3 linked regions of the Nothobranchius furzeri genome follow. The protein of the gene in region 3 interacts with the protein of the main gene of each other region in a biochemical or structural test. Links are inferred from orthologs where the notes say so. Each region holds a gene or a part of one and is shown on either strand. Other genes may lie near its edges.

Region 1 (4,638 bases), on a different chromosome or scaffold from region 3:
TTCACAGTAAACGCTGTTGACCGTGCAACCAAACAAAATCAGCATAATGGGCGATCATTGAAATCTGTGCATGCTTCAAAAAGATGGACAAAAAGGTGTGCTACCTAAAGGTGAAAGGTTAAAATTCGGTATGGCATTTTCCCATAAGACCTCTCCTTGCTGCTTCAAGCAGAGTCCATCTGAAATTAATTAAATGTGTAAAAGCTAACTATAGCTTTCTGTGAGGTTAGTGGAATTCAAGACACCTCGGCAAAGGGTCTCAGTGACCCCCGTTAGCTTTTGTGCCCTCCAGTTTTTGGTGATCCATTATCTTGATGTTCTTTTCGGCATTTTCAACGTTCCTCAGCAGAGTCTCCAGCCTTCGCTTTATCTTCTTCTGGTCCTCCAGAGCGCAGCTGATCACCACGGTCTGAAACTTCTGGTCAATAGGGACGAGCGGTGCCTCCGTGACGCAGGCAGCGTGCAGGGCCAGCAGCTGCTGACGGCCACCTTCCATGTCGCTCAGCAGCTTTTTCACAATCTCGTCTATCATAGACGTGGCCTTGAGTAGTGCATCCTCCTGTTGGGGGTTTCTGATTGTGCCAACAGAGATCTCCACAGACAACGTTCGGCCCATCAGACGGTTCGCAGTCAAAGATAACTCTTCCCTCTCACCTAGAAGACATGTAAACATATTACTAAATCTTTATAGGAAAGAAACTGCTTTTAATGCGGCTGTAACAGCACATCAATAGTCATTTCATATTTCTAAAAGTTTATTTCAATGAGTACAAGCTCTGATTTGTCTGAGATCCCACCCCACACCATAATACTGCCCCCACTGAAACCTGTTAAGCAATATTCATGATGTTCTCCATGATTCTGCCAACTTGTCAATAATAACAAGCTGACACCAAAATACCACTGATATTAATTGGAAGAAATGAATGCAATAACATTTCCAAACATATTTTTTATTGGGATGGACGATGTTTCTCTGGAGCATTTTTTGCCATATTGCTTGTTATGGTCATCACATCGTACAGCAACCAATAAAGTAAATGCTTTGTCGAAAAACTAATAATTTTCATTTCCTCTGAAACATGCAATCCCGTTCTTAATGACTGAATCATGATCCATCCATCAAACTCCCCTCTGACAGTCCCTCCGCTGTATGCGCATACCCGTATTTGTGGATGTATTGCGCATTCTTGGCTTAGAGTAGTTGAACAGGAAGCAAAGTCGGAGCCGGACTGCCTAGTGTTTAACGGACAGAATGTTCGGTTATGTTTGCAAATTTTATTCAAAGATTAGGTTATAACTCATCTTTTCTTGTCATCTAGAATCTTCTGGTGCTGATCTGTAACAGGCCCTTTTGCGCCATGAGAATCTATCGTGGCTGCAGGAACTGAAGTAGGGATAATCCCAACCCACCTCCCCACCTAGTGGACACTTATATTGTGTAATGCCTGAAGTCTGTTGCATCTCTGTCGGAGGTGGGTGTTTTTTTTTTTTTTGCATAGCAAAGCTGCCTTCCCAGTGGAGGGTAACTCTGAAGTGCCTTTTTTTCCCTCCACCTGAACCAATCCTCATGTAACCCTCTGATCTCAATTAGCACGACTCAGGGTTGCGAATGACCACAGTCACCAATTCTTGTCATATGTCTTGCCCATGTATGTCTGATCTCTGAATTGTGTGTACTGAAACTCTAATTTCCCTCTGGGATTAATAAAGTATCTTTGATTTGATTTTGATTGACACTCACGGCAGTGACTTTTGCTTACAAATGTGGTCTGCAGTAACCAAATTTGACCACAGGATGTCAGTCTTACATAATGCACCTTTACATAAAGCCCTTCTTTCAAATCCCTGACCAGTTGAGAGGAGTTTCTAGGTGAACCATGGAGCTCGTGTGAATCATACTAACTTACATTAATGAGGTTTAATGGAGCATAAACCAACATGACTAGACGGTCTACCCTGGTCAGACTCTGGATTTAAATAATGAGCTTTAAGGGTTAGGCCTTTTTGTCTGTTTACAGCGGAACCAAATCAATAAACCAGATGTAGGCTATTGACTCACACGATCCAGAGGTGAAACATGAGCCTGGTTCACACAAACTGGGTCTGGGTGAGATCAGAGGAGATGGGATTCTGGTAGAAATACATTAACCGTACTAGTTCCCCTTTATAACCGCGTATCTTCCCTGGCATTAAGCCGTGCGTGACTTTTGCGCTTATGTAAGTTAAGAGAGAGTTAGCAGCTTCACCAGCACAGATGTTCCTCATTTCTTGACTGTTCTGTATGGACTGAATCATTTCCAGGATGCACTCCCTTTCCTGCTCCATGGCAGATGCTGCTTCTCGTAAAGCCTCCACTCTGACACAGAAAGAGAGACAGCATATGAAATAACACGCTGCAAACCAGTTATGTTTGTTATGAAAAACATTTATTGTCACATTGCCCTGTTTACAGTGTTTATAAAAGGTTTATGCCAATAAATGTTAGCGGCCGGGGCAAATAGCGGCTCCGTAGCACACATGGTACAACAAGGGCCTGTTACCTCGTTTCCAGCTGATCCAAACTTTCCAGGAGTCGCCCCGAGCGGTCTGCCATAGAAAGCGTCCTGCTGAACTTGCTGCAGAGGGCAGCTTCGTTCATTTTCGCTTGTATTTTCGCTTGAGCCATAATGAAGACGAAGATGATGGCTACAGTGCTTTCCCTCGGTGAGCGCAAAATCCAGTGTGTGTCCCTCCGAGCCGTCCAGCTGGGTGTAAATCCTCGGACTGAGGCAGGCAGCAGCAGCGCCCCATGGGGGGAACATTTCCTAACATGGACTTCCTTCACTCCGGCAGAAAGTTCCCGAGGAGACCAGAGCTGGAGCTCCCAATCGTAAGGAGCGTGGACCAGCAGAGGTCCGTGAGCAAGCTCCTCCAGGTCCACGGAAATAAAAGACCTATAATGTTCCAACTCACTTTGCAGTTTTAAGTAATGTGTCTTGATTTATTTGGGCATAATTTTTATTAGGCAGATTGGTAAAGTAATCAAGTTATTCTGATAAACTTATCCAGGCCTATATATATATATATAATTCATTTTCACTCCAGACTACAGATGAAAGCCTGTGGTGGTCTGCAACCCGCAACTCTGGAGCCACAGTGGACCTTCCAGAATGGCTTTTACTTTATAATAATCATAGATATAATAGAAAAAGTGAGATTTAAGCAGCCTTTTGTTATGGATTAATTGAACTGAATTCCCACAACGCAGTGACACCTGTCATCTAGAGGTGAAAACTGCATTACACCCCTAGGCCTCTCAGTTTCCATGATTATGGCCTTTTTATGAACAGTCATGTTGTGCTGTTTATCATGTATATTTTAAAGACTTACTTGTCCATAAGAAATGTTACCAACTCTGCATCAGTCTGGGCTCGTCTTCCCTCTGATCACCTCTCCGTCCAATCTTCTTTTCGAGCTCCCCATGTGTATGTCGTTTGATGGCTTCCGGGGGAGCTGATTACCCTTTTGGGGGAGCCGTGATTTCAACCTCCCCCAAAAATCGCCAAGAAAATTTCAAAAAGATGTATTGCCTTGGTTATCACAGTACAGGCTTTTATGGATTAAAAGAAAATCATAAATAATTCTTGGAAGGGGGGAAACTCCAGGTTGCTGCTTTAAAGTACCCATGAGATTTTTACATCTATTTTTTAAAAATAATTTCCCTAAATATAAATATCTGGTACAAAAAATACATTCATACACTTTTGGCAAAAGTTTTCTTCCTAAACTCAAAATCTAATAGGAACAAAATGGTGTAAATATTTATGAGACGTCTAACCTTAACCTCAGAATTCTGATTATTTTTCCCTCAGAAAAGAGAAAAAGAACTTCTTCTTCAGTGGCCCTAATCCTTTTATGTAAATAGTTCAACAATTATAAAGATCTTGTTTCAAAAGGTCCTGTAACAGTTACCCATGGTCCAGAGAAGCTGTGGTGGACGTCCCTTAAGGTGGCCACCCTAATGCGTCATTCCCTGTTTTGGGGACATTTATAGAAATGATTAACAAGAATTATTTTGGGGAAAACTACATCCACACAAACAAGGTGATCCCAAACCGACACAAGCAGATTTCACAAGCTCTTGAAAAAAATTCCATCTGTTCATTAGAAGTTACCTGTTAAACTGTAAATCAGCACAAGTGCATAAAGGCTCCATCTGAAAACTTCACCAATATCTGAATGAAGTGTAAATCAAATTTAATTTACACACACACAACTACCTTTTATGTGTTAAAAGTTACAAGACATCAACACATTTATCTGAACAGCAATAAGACAGAAATTCTTCTTGTCGGAACCAAATGTATGATTACTAAATCAGTTTTTCCCTCTTTTCCATTCGACAATAGCATCCCATCTCCTTCATCACAGGTTAAGTCTGGGTGTCAATTTGGATACAACTTTGTCTTTCTCTGCTCACATCAACGCTCACATCAATGTGGTTTGTTTAGCCTAACTGACTACTGCAACTCTCTGCTTTCTGGTGTCTCACAGAAACTCCTGCAGAAACTACATCTGGTACAAAACTGCAGCTCGTGTCATCACCAAAACTCCGCTCTCACAACACATTACACCGGTTCTGGATGAACTGCACTG
Region 2 (4,291 bases), on a different chromosome or scaffold from region 3:
CCTTGCTTCTGATTGGCTAAAAGAACGAGTTCAGCCATGTTGCAAAGTCACTATCAACAACGCACACTTTGCGCTCTCCTCGCTGCAAAACAAAATGTAAAAAAGCCTTCCTGTGGGCGGGTCCGAGCCAGAATGGGCAGGGCCATGAATGCAAATTCACAGTGTGACATAGATCTGAGGATTTTCAAGTCCTAGCATTTCACTGTCTATTTTCTATCAGAAGCTAATGCAGCAGATAGATGTAGAAGACTGTTTTAATGTTCAGCCTGCATGAAAAACCCAGAGTGACCCGTTAGAATCAGAAATAATCATTAAAAATGTTTTTTCAGTCAACCACACCTTTAAAGTACCTTGGCAGAGGCCCTAAACAATTACAGGTCATTTACCATTGTTAACATTCTATGAACCCATTAAATTATCAACTCATTGTTAACTCATTATAATCTCATCATTAATGGTTGAGTATGGAACCGGAACATCAAAGCGACATCTAGTGTGTGGAGGTTGTAGCTGCAGCAATAGAACAAGTCTTCCAGTCATCAGGACGCCAGGTTTGCTGCTGATACGTGAATTTTTTTATATGGGTCCGTCCATTTGTTGTAGGTTTCACCCAAACTCACTCTGGTTTTAGATCTTTCATGGTCGCTCCTCTTCTGAGAAGAATAATGACATCTCCTGGGCTCAGAAGTAGCTGCTTGACTCACAGAGTCCGCCATTTTCCACAGAGCCAGCCTCGCAGACTGTTTGGCAACCCGCATTGGTGCCCTCTACTGGTTGGTAGATATGAACATTACCCAGTGTTGCGCCCGTCAAAACAATATTTGATTATTTTAAAATTAAAATCTAGCTTTTTAATGAGGCGCTTTAGCTTCATTCTGGACACCTCTAAATACCCCATGGAGGTTTTATTTAAAAACAATATAGCTTTTTATTGTTCTATATTCAACCTTTAAGTCACTGGTAACATACTAGTAACACATTATCTCATTAGTAACTCATTGTTAACATGACTTGTTCCAAAAAACAGATACAGCTTTATTTAAATTATTGTGAGCAGAGAAACCCACAGCAGGATGTCGGCAGTCCTCTAGGAATAGCAGAGTACGGTGTTGCCATTTATCACAACCTCAGATTTTAAACGTAGGAGGTTGGCTGATCACATGGCTCGGACCCACAGGGTTGTCTTAGCGTACTATGGACAATCAGACCAACTACAGAGCATCTCTCTGGGGTGGGGTAGGGCTTGATATTGTCCATGCACTATCTCTAGTCAGCTACAGTAATAACACTTGTCATGGATAGTAGAAAACTCTGACTGACATCCTGGTCTGGGGTGGTCAATTAACACATGGATGTCTGAGGGGACAGGAAGACCTGGTCACAAATGTGATCAATTATGAACCAGATGCTTTAGTCTTGTGAAAGTGTGCCGTTATCCAAACCAGTGGTTCCCCATACACTCTCGGTTCCAGGGAACGCCACACAGCCAGCACCACTCAGCTCTGCAGAGGGAGCACTGCATGTGCATGCAGCCACCTGCATGGGGCAACAGCACAACACTTCAGTCACCTACATGTGTATTAGTAGTGAGTGACTTGAACGTAATGGCTACCGTTTCTCTCCACAGGAACCGAGCAGCGAGGGCAGCGTTTGGTTGACTCTTGGATGAGGAGCAGAGATGCCCGGTCCCACCTCCCCTGTTGAGATGCCTCCTCTGCAACAACAAAACCCTTTGCAGGAAGGGTAACAGGTTAATTATTTTATCATCATGCTGCCTTTGACACAGTTGATCACAATGTTCTTTTAGAAAGGCTTGAACATGTTGTAGGGATCAAAGGAACAGCGCTAGGCTGGTTTAAATCCTACCTGTCTGACAGATTTCATTTTGTAAATGTACATGACAAATCTTCTTCATACTCCAGGGTTACTTGTGGAGTACCACAGGGTTCAGTGCTTGGACCATTTCTTTTTACTATATATATATATATATATATATATATATATATATATATATATATATATATATATATATGCTTCCAATTGGTAAAATCATTAGGCAGCATGGGATAAACTTCCACCGTTAAGCTGACGATACTCAGTTATACTCCAGGGTTACTTGTGGAGTACCACAGGGTTCAGTGCTTGGACCATTTCTTTTTACTATATATATATATATATATATATATATATATATATATATATATATATATATATATATATATATATAATATATATATATGCTTCCAATTGGTAAAATCATTAGGCAGCATGGGATAAACTTCCACCGTTAAGCTGACGATACTCAGTTATATCTATCCATTAACACTGATGAACCTCATCGGTTAGTTAGGATACAGGCTTGTCTAGAAGACATCAAAAATTGGATTGCGCAAAACTTTCTGCTTTTAAATCAAGACAAGACTGAAGTTCTCATCTTTGGACCTGAAATTCAGAAAAGGTAATTGCTTAGTCAATCACCTGACCTGAACGGCATTAGATTAATCTCAGAGAACAAAGTAAGGAACCTCAATCAATCATCATCATCGTCATCACCATTATTATCACCTTCATCCTCACCATTATCATCATCATCATCATCATCATCACCATCACCATTAATATCACCTTCATCCTCACCATTATCATCATCATTATCGTCATCATCATCATCATCACTGTTATCATCATTGTCACCATTATCATCACCTTCATCCTCACCATTATCATCATCATCATCGTCATCATCATCATCATCACCACCATTATCATCATCACCATCACCATTATCATCATCATCATCACCATTATCATCATCATCATCATCATCACCATTATCATCATCATCATCATCACCATTATTTTCATCTTCATCCTCATCCTCATCATCATCATCATCACCATTATCATCATCATCATCATCACCATTATTATCATCATCATCATCATCATCACCATTATCATCACCATCATCCTGACCATTATCATCAGCATTATCATTATCAACATCATCATCATCATCATTATCATCACCATTATCATCATCATCATCATTATCAACATCATCATCATCATCATTATCAACATCATCATCATCATCATTATCATCACCATTATCATCATCATCATCATTATCAACATCATCATCATCATCATCATTATCAACATCATCATCATCATCACCATTGTCATCATCACCATTGTCATCATCATCATCACCATTATAATCACCTTCATCCTGACCATTATCATCAGCATTATCATCATCATCATCATTATCAATATCATCATCACCATTATTATCACCTTCATCCTCACCATCACCATTATCATCATCATCATCATCATCATCACCATTATCATCATCACCATCATCATCATCATCATCACCATTATCATCATCACCATTATCATCATCACCATCATCATCATCACCATTATCATCATCATCATCATCCTCACCATCATCACCATCATCACCATTATCATCATCATCATCCTCACCATTATCATCACCTTCATCCTCACCATTATCATCATCATCTATCACCAACATCATCCTCACCTTCATCCTCCTGTGACTTACCTGTGAAGAGTCACGTGAGGTGGGTGGAGCTGGCATCACCTGACATGCCCCCTCATGATATGGTCCTCTGCAGTCCCTGCAGAAGATGAAGCCACAGCCTAGCTGTCTGTCACACTCCACCCTCCTGATGCCGTTGGGTGGTAGAAGTCCCGCCCCGCAGCCAGGTGAGGGACATAACAGGCCTCCAAGGGTCAGCAGACACTCTTCCGCCCCATATTGCTGGTACCGCCCATACTGAAACAAGCACACAGGTGAGTGTTCAAACCTGCTGCTCACAGCATGAATGCGTCTCTACTGACTTCATGGAAGGCTTTTAATGATTTTTAATTCTGTGGTGCTTTGCTTGATGCTTTATAGGCCTTTGTTTATATGTATTTTATGGTTGCCGTTCTCTGTGGTGTCTGTACGATTGCTGTTGTGAAGTACTATGGGGCTCTTTCAGAAAGAAGTGCTATATAAAACCCATTCCTTCTAAGTGTGTAGTTTACATGGACACATCATGCTACACAGTGTCTGAACCAAGCACCCACATCCTGTGTGACGGTACGTCACCTGTTCATCTCCCAGAATCCTGAAATGATGCAACTCTTTTACCAGAGAGTCCTCACAGCCAGCTGGAAACACAAAGATCATACCGTTACGGTCCCATTCATACCTGTTCACATCGTCACCCGAGTCTCCATTCCCTCACCTGCACATGGAAGAGAA
Region 3 (4,398 bases):
AGAACGGGGGAAGTACTGCCGCCTACAGGTCTGGCATGTCCTTAACAACGAATTTATCCGGGTACGTGTGGACAGTTTTTTTTTTAAACGAGGTGGTGTGGATGCAAGTTTTTGGAGGGGCGGATATTCGTTTAAAAAACCCGGCTACGTGTGGACTAGGCCTAAGTCTCTGGGTGACACCATATTAGATGCTGTGTTTCCTTCTACGGGAGCCCGTAGAGGACAATATACATTTAATGATTTGTAACGAACAGTTACAAAACTTTTACCATTCATAAATGTTATTGCTTTACACATTACCTCATCACTCACTGCCAGTGATGAAAGGGAGTCTGATGTGCTTATTTTGCTGGAGGCTGCACTCACAGAGATTTTTGACCCTAATGGCCATCTGTTGATAAGGTCTTACTCAAACACAAAACTACAGCTTGCTTGTGATGACTTAGGTATGTATTGCCACTTATCGCCAGGGAAAATACACGTTGTCACTTTAAGAGTGTAATGTTAGCTGTTTTAAAGAAACTGCTTCATTTTAAACTAAATACCAGCAAAGACTCAATAGAAAATCTGCCCAGGCACTGAAAGATTGACGACCTTGCACTACTTATGACACGTATTCATAGTGTGACCTCACACTGAATGACTCAGCTACTATCAAAATGATTGGGTTAGTCATTTTTGTGTTTTCTAATATTATGCAGCTGTGGTGGCCATCTTGAATTGGCTTCATTTGAAATGCCAATCAGCAATAATTGATTTCTGACTGTTGCATTAAAATCCATCCAGTCCTCCATAAGATATTTTGACACACAAACCAACAAAAACATCATCACCAACCAAAACTCAAAATTCAGTCAAATTCATTGCAAAGGTAACAAAAAGCTGAAGGGTGCACTGAAATCAAACATTAACCATAATTGGAGATAATTGCGTTTGAAATGATTTTATTCTGAAATTCAACCTTTCTACATGTCCAAAAATATTTCCAACAATCTTCAATGTACCAAACTATAATTACAACATGGATTTGCATCCCAAACTACTGACGTACAGCTGAAAATAACCATATAGTGCAGTAAATGAATCTGTCTTTCTAGCGACGGTGAAATGGTTGCTTTTCATTTATAACACATTTAAAACACCAACTATTCTTGAATACAATTCTAGAAAAATGCAAACAGGAAAACGGAGTGCATTATTATGCATGGTCAGGGGCGGATCTACAAAATTATTTATGGGGTGGCAGAAGAGGGGCAAACATTTTTCTAGGGTGGCCATTCATATATATATACACACACACATAGATAGATAGATAGATAGATAGATAGATAGATAGAGATAGAGATAGAGAGAGAGAGAGAGAGAGAGAGAGAGAGAGAGAGAGAGAGAGAGAGAGAGAGAGAGAGAGAGAGAGAGAGAGAGAGACGTTTTCCTTTTTATTTTCCCAGGATTTGCATATTCATTTGTTTTGGGTCCTCATTTAATAAGCTTAAAGGCCCATCATGAAAATAAAACACATAATAAAATTATGTCCTTCCTACAACAGCTGAATGCGGCAGTTTCCATGTTGCTCAGCAAAACAATTTACACATTCATCAAGGTCCAAAGATTTTGCCCGTTTTGATTCAATGCTGAGTACAGCCTAGCTTCATAGTCTTTTCTCTGTCAAAGGAGACTGCAAATAGGTCTTTATGAGCCAGACAGTTGAAAAACGTTGATTTTTCTTGAATTTATAGCTACCAGCTGGGGTGGCAGCAGCGGTAGCAAGGCTTTCTTTTAGGGTGGCAACTGCCACCCTATGCCACCCTTATAGATCCGCCCCTGTGCATGGTACTAATGATCTATGGATGTTTTACCATGACTTCATCTTTGTTAAGCATGCCGAACACACGTTACGCAGAAACCTCCTAAAACCAGCTCTTTGGAGAGGGTTTCAGATGTTGCACCTGCAGGTAGCTGACCTCACCCTACCCAGTAGATCCTCACAAGTGTAACATGGTTTTAATTTTAAATATCTGCATTGGTCACTTCCACACTGTGACAGACCTGTGTCTACAAATGTGCATGAGAGCTTTCAGGAGACAGGATCTACTCTTAACCACCAGCAGCCATTTCTACTCTCATTACAGAATTTTTAGTTTTTTTTTTTAAATTAACAAACATCTCAGTGATAAATTAGATTTTTAAAGATTAGGTACTGAAATTTTTATTCAAAAACTAAAGCAAAAGGGAAGAATTGACCCGTTTTGGAACATCAGTTACTTCCAAAAGCCTTTGATATAAATTTATGTTTTTTGTACTTTTGAATACAGATGTTACTCATCTTTGTGTGGGATTAAATTTAGCCTCTAAAGGTTTGTTCCAGACTTCCTCTGACCAGATTTCCCTTGAACAAGTGGCCAGTTGGACTTGGGTGTCCCTGCAGACGGCTCTCGCACATTTAGACCCAGTAGAACTCTGGATCTCTAAAATCATTCCCTCCCAGCTGTCCTTTGTATAAAGTTCCTCCTTGGTGACGTCTTCTGTTAGACCTTCACAGACTTTCTCACATGGGTCATCACTCACGCATACACCCACACCTTCTGCATGATGTTGTGTTCCAGTTAGCGTGAGATGTTGCTCCATCTGGCTGGAAAACAGTCATTGTGAGGATACAAACTATGATGGAGAGGGAGCAGTCCGCTCGCTCGCTCGCTCCCTCCCTCCCTCCCTCACTCACTCACTCACTCACTCACTCACTCACTCACTCACTCCCTCACTCACTCACTCACGTGAAACCAGGCTGAACAAATCCAGAACCCCGTTCTCTGACTTTCAATAATAAATTTGATCCCATACAAAAAAATCCAGGAAGACCTGGAGCTGTCATTTTCAGTAAACGTGTAAAATTTCTGTGTGCTATAAAAGGTTTTCGAGCTAGCTGACGCTGAAATCCGGCCTTTCGCATGAGCGTTAAGCTACTGCTCATTCATACAGCAGCTAAATGTTAAATCAAGCACAACAAAAACACAGCAGGTATCCACCCATAGTTTAACTACCAGCGTTTCTTTTTGAGGGTCCGAGTTACGGTTTGGACCGGATCTACGCTGACAGAGAGCAGCCGCGGCGCTGCTCCCAACCATAGAGGAGGAAGCCCATTGCGGTGCGCAGCTCCACCAGGTCCAGATTGGACAGAAAGCTTCTCTGAAGCTCCGCCTCCACCCCATTCCCACTGGGTCCAGCACAGCCCTTCAGGAGAACCACCGCAGACTGGCACAGCAACCAGTCAACGAGTTTCTTCGTGCCAGCACTGTCCTGACTGGCCAAAACCTTCCGACCCCAGAGGCTGAGATGTAGCATGTTAGCCGCTACACGTGCACTGGGCCGCTGAGGAGGAAGAACAGAGGCAAACAGAGCTAATCATCAATTAAAAACAAACGCTTCCAAGTGTAAGAGATCAGTTTATAACTGGACCTATCCTGCTTTACCCGCTCTGGGTTTCTCCTGAGAAGTAATTGTATCACCAACTGCACATCAGCTGGACTTCTGGAAGGAAACAGAGGAAGCTGTTTCTCCTGGTAGTCGGTGCTACGCAGTCCCCCAGCCTGATAGAACGGGTTCTGCTCTCCAAGTATCTCATAGGAGATCGCCCCAACGGCCCAGGCGTCCGCCTTGCTGTAGTCAATCACCACACCGCTTCCTGGGACTGCGGTGACCACCTGATGAGACAAATAACCCATCACAGCAGGTAAAGACACACCGCCTCAGAGAAATCCAGGAACAGCCGGAGTGTTTGGTGTTGTGTTCAAGGTGGTCCACACGGTTCGGCGGGTCTGATTTGTTCGTTAGACGCCTGCAGGTACACCTGGAGTCGGCCAGGCTGGAAGTGTCGCTGAAGGTGTTTTATGTTTTTAAAGGGGCATTATGGAAGTGTGACAGCCATAACATGTATAGAAATAATAAATGTCTTCTTCATACTTTCTCCTGCAATGCCCTGGTCCTGTAGAATGAGCCCTGGCATTTTTACTGTGATTGCCTGTTTTTCTGTAAAATCACAGAAAAAGAGAGATGCTCGGGTCGAGCAGGCTGCTTCATGCGTGTTCACGCTCAGGCATCGCCCGTAGCATTTGCTATCCGTAGCTTTAGCAGCAGAGAGAGAGGCAGTGCCACTTTGTCGCTGTTCCTAACGCCTAGTGACAAAGCTAGCTACATTTCTGAGCACCCTTAGCTACTTCCTTCTAGATATTTCCTGCAAATTAGCAACAAAATAGCCATTTTCGCTCCGAACCGTTCTTTGAACGTTGTTTCAGCTGTCATCAAGGATATAAAAGTTACAGATACAAAGGATGTCATTGGCATTTTAGCTCACCTAGTAAGACGTCGGACTCTCGTGCCGAAGACCTGGGTTCGATTCTGGGT

What was found.
Region 1: the proteins of pink1 (region 3) and bag2 form a complex in vitro, tested with the Homo sapiens proteins (2 studies listed by BioGRID). The link is inferred for Nothobranchius furzeri from reciprocal best matches to the Homo sapiens genes PINK1 and BAG2.
Region 2: of the proteins of pink1 (region 3) and prkn, one has a biochemical effect on the other in vitro, tested with the Homo sapiens proteins (12 studies listed by BioGRID, with this or other methods). The link is inferred for Nothobranchius furzeri from reciprocal best matches to the Homo sapiens genes PINK1 and PRKN.

Annotation. Positions count from the first base shown.
Region 1 is NC_091752.1:19,643,738-19,648,375, forward strand, and holds the start of bag2 (BAG family molecular chaperone regulator 2), read right to left. Parts: upstream 2,923-4,638; 5' UTR 2,669-2,922; coding exon 2,544-2,668; intron 2,360-2,543; coding exon 2,250-2,359; intron 655-2,249; coding exon 260-654; 3' UTR 1-259. UniProt on the Homo sapiens protein: Co-chaperone for HSP70 and HSC70 chaperone proteins. Acts as a nucleotide-exchange factor (NEF) promoting the release of ADP from the HSP70 and HSC70 proteins thereby triggering client/substrate protein release.
Region 2 is NC_091752.1:62,536,301-62,540,591, reverse strand, and holds the end of prkn (E3 ubiquitin-protein ligase parkin), read right to left. Parts: coding exon 4,275-4,291; intron 4,198-4,274; coding exon 4,136-4,197; intron 3,818-4,135; coding exon 3,584-3,817; intron 1,731-3,583; coding exon 1,613-1,730; intron 1,537-1,612; coding exon 1,433-1,536; 3' UTR 904-1,432; downstream 1-903. UniProt on the Homo sapiens protein: Functions within a multiprotein E3 ubiquitin ligase complex, catalyzing the covalent attachment of ubiquitin moieties onto substrate proteins. Substrates include SYT11 and VDAC1.
Region 3 is NC_091755.1:38,775,190-38,779,587, forward strand, and holds the end of pink1 (serine/threonine-protein kinase PINK1, mitochondrial), read right to left. Parts: intron 3,699-4,398; coding exon 3,468-3,698; intron 3,367-3,467; coding exon 3,082-3,366; 3' UTR 928-3,081; downstream 1-927. UniProt on the Homo sapiens protein: Serine/threonine-protein kinase which acts as a sensor of mitochondrial damage and protects against mitochondrial dysfunction during cellular stress.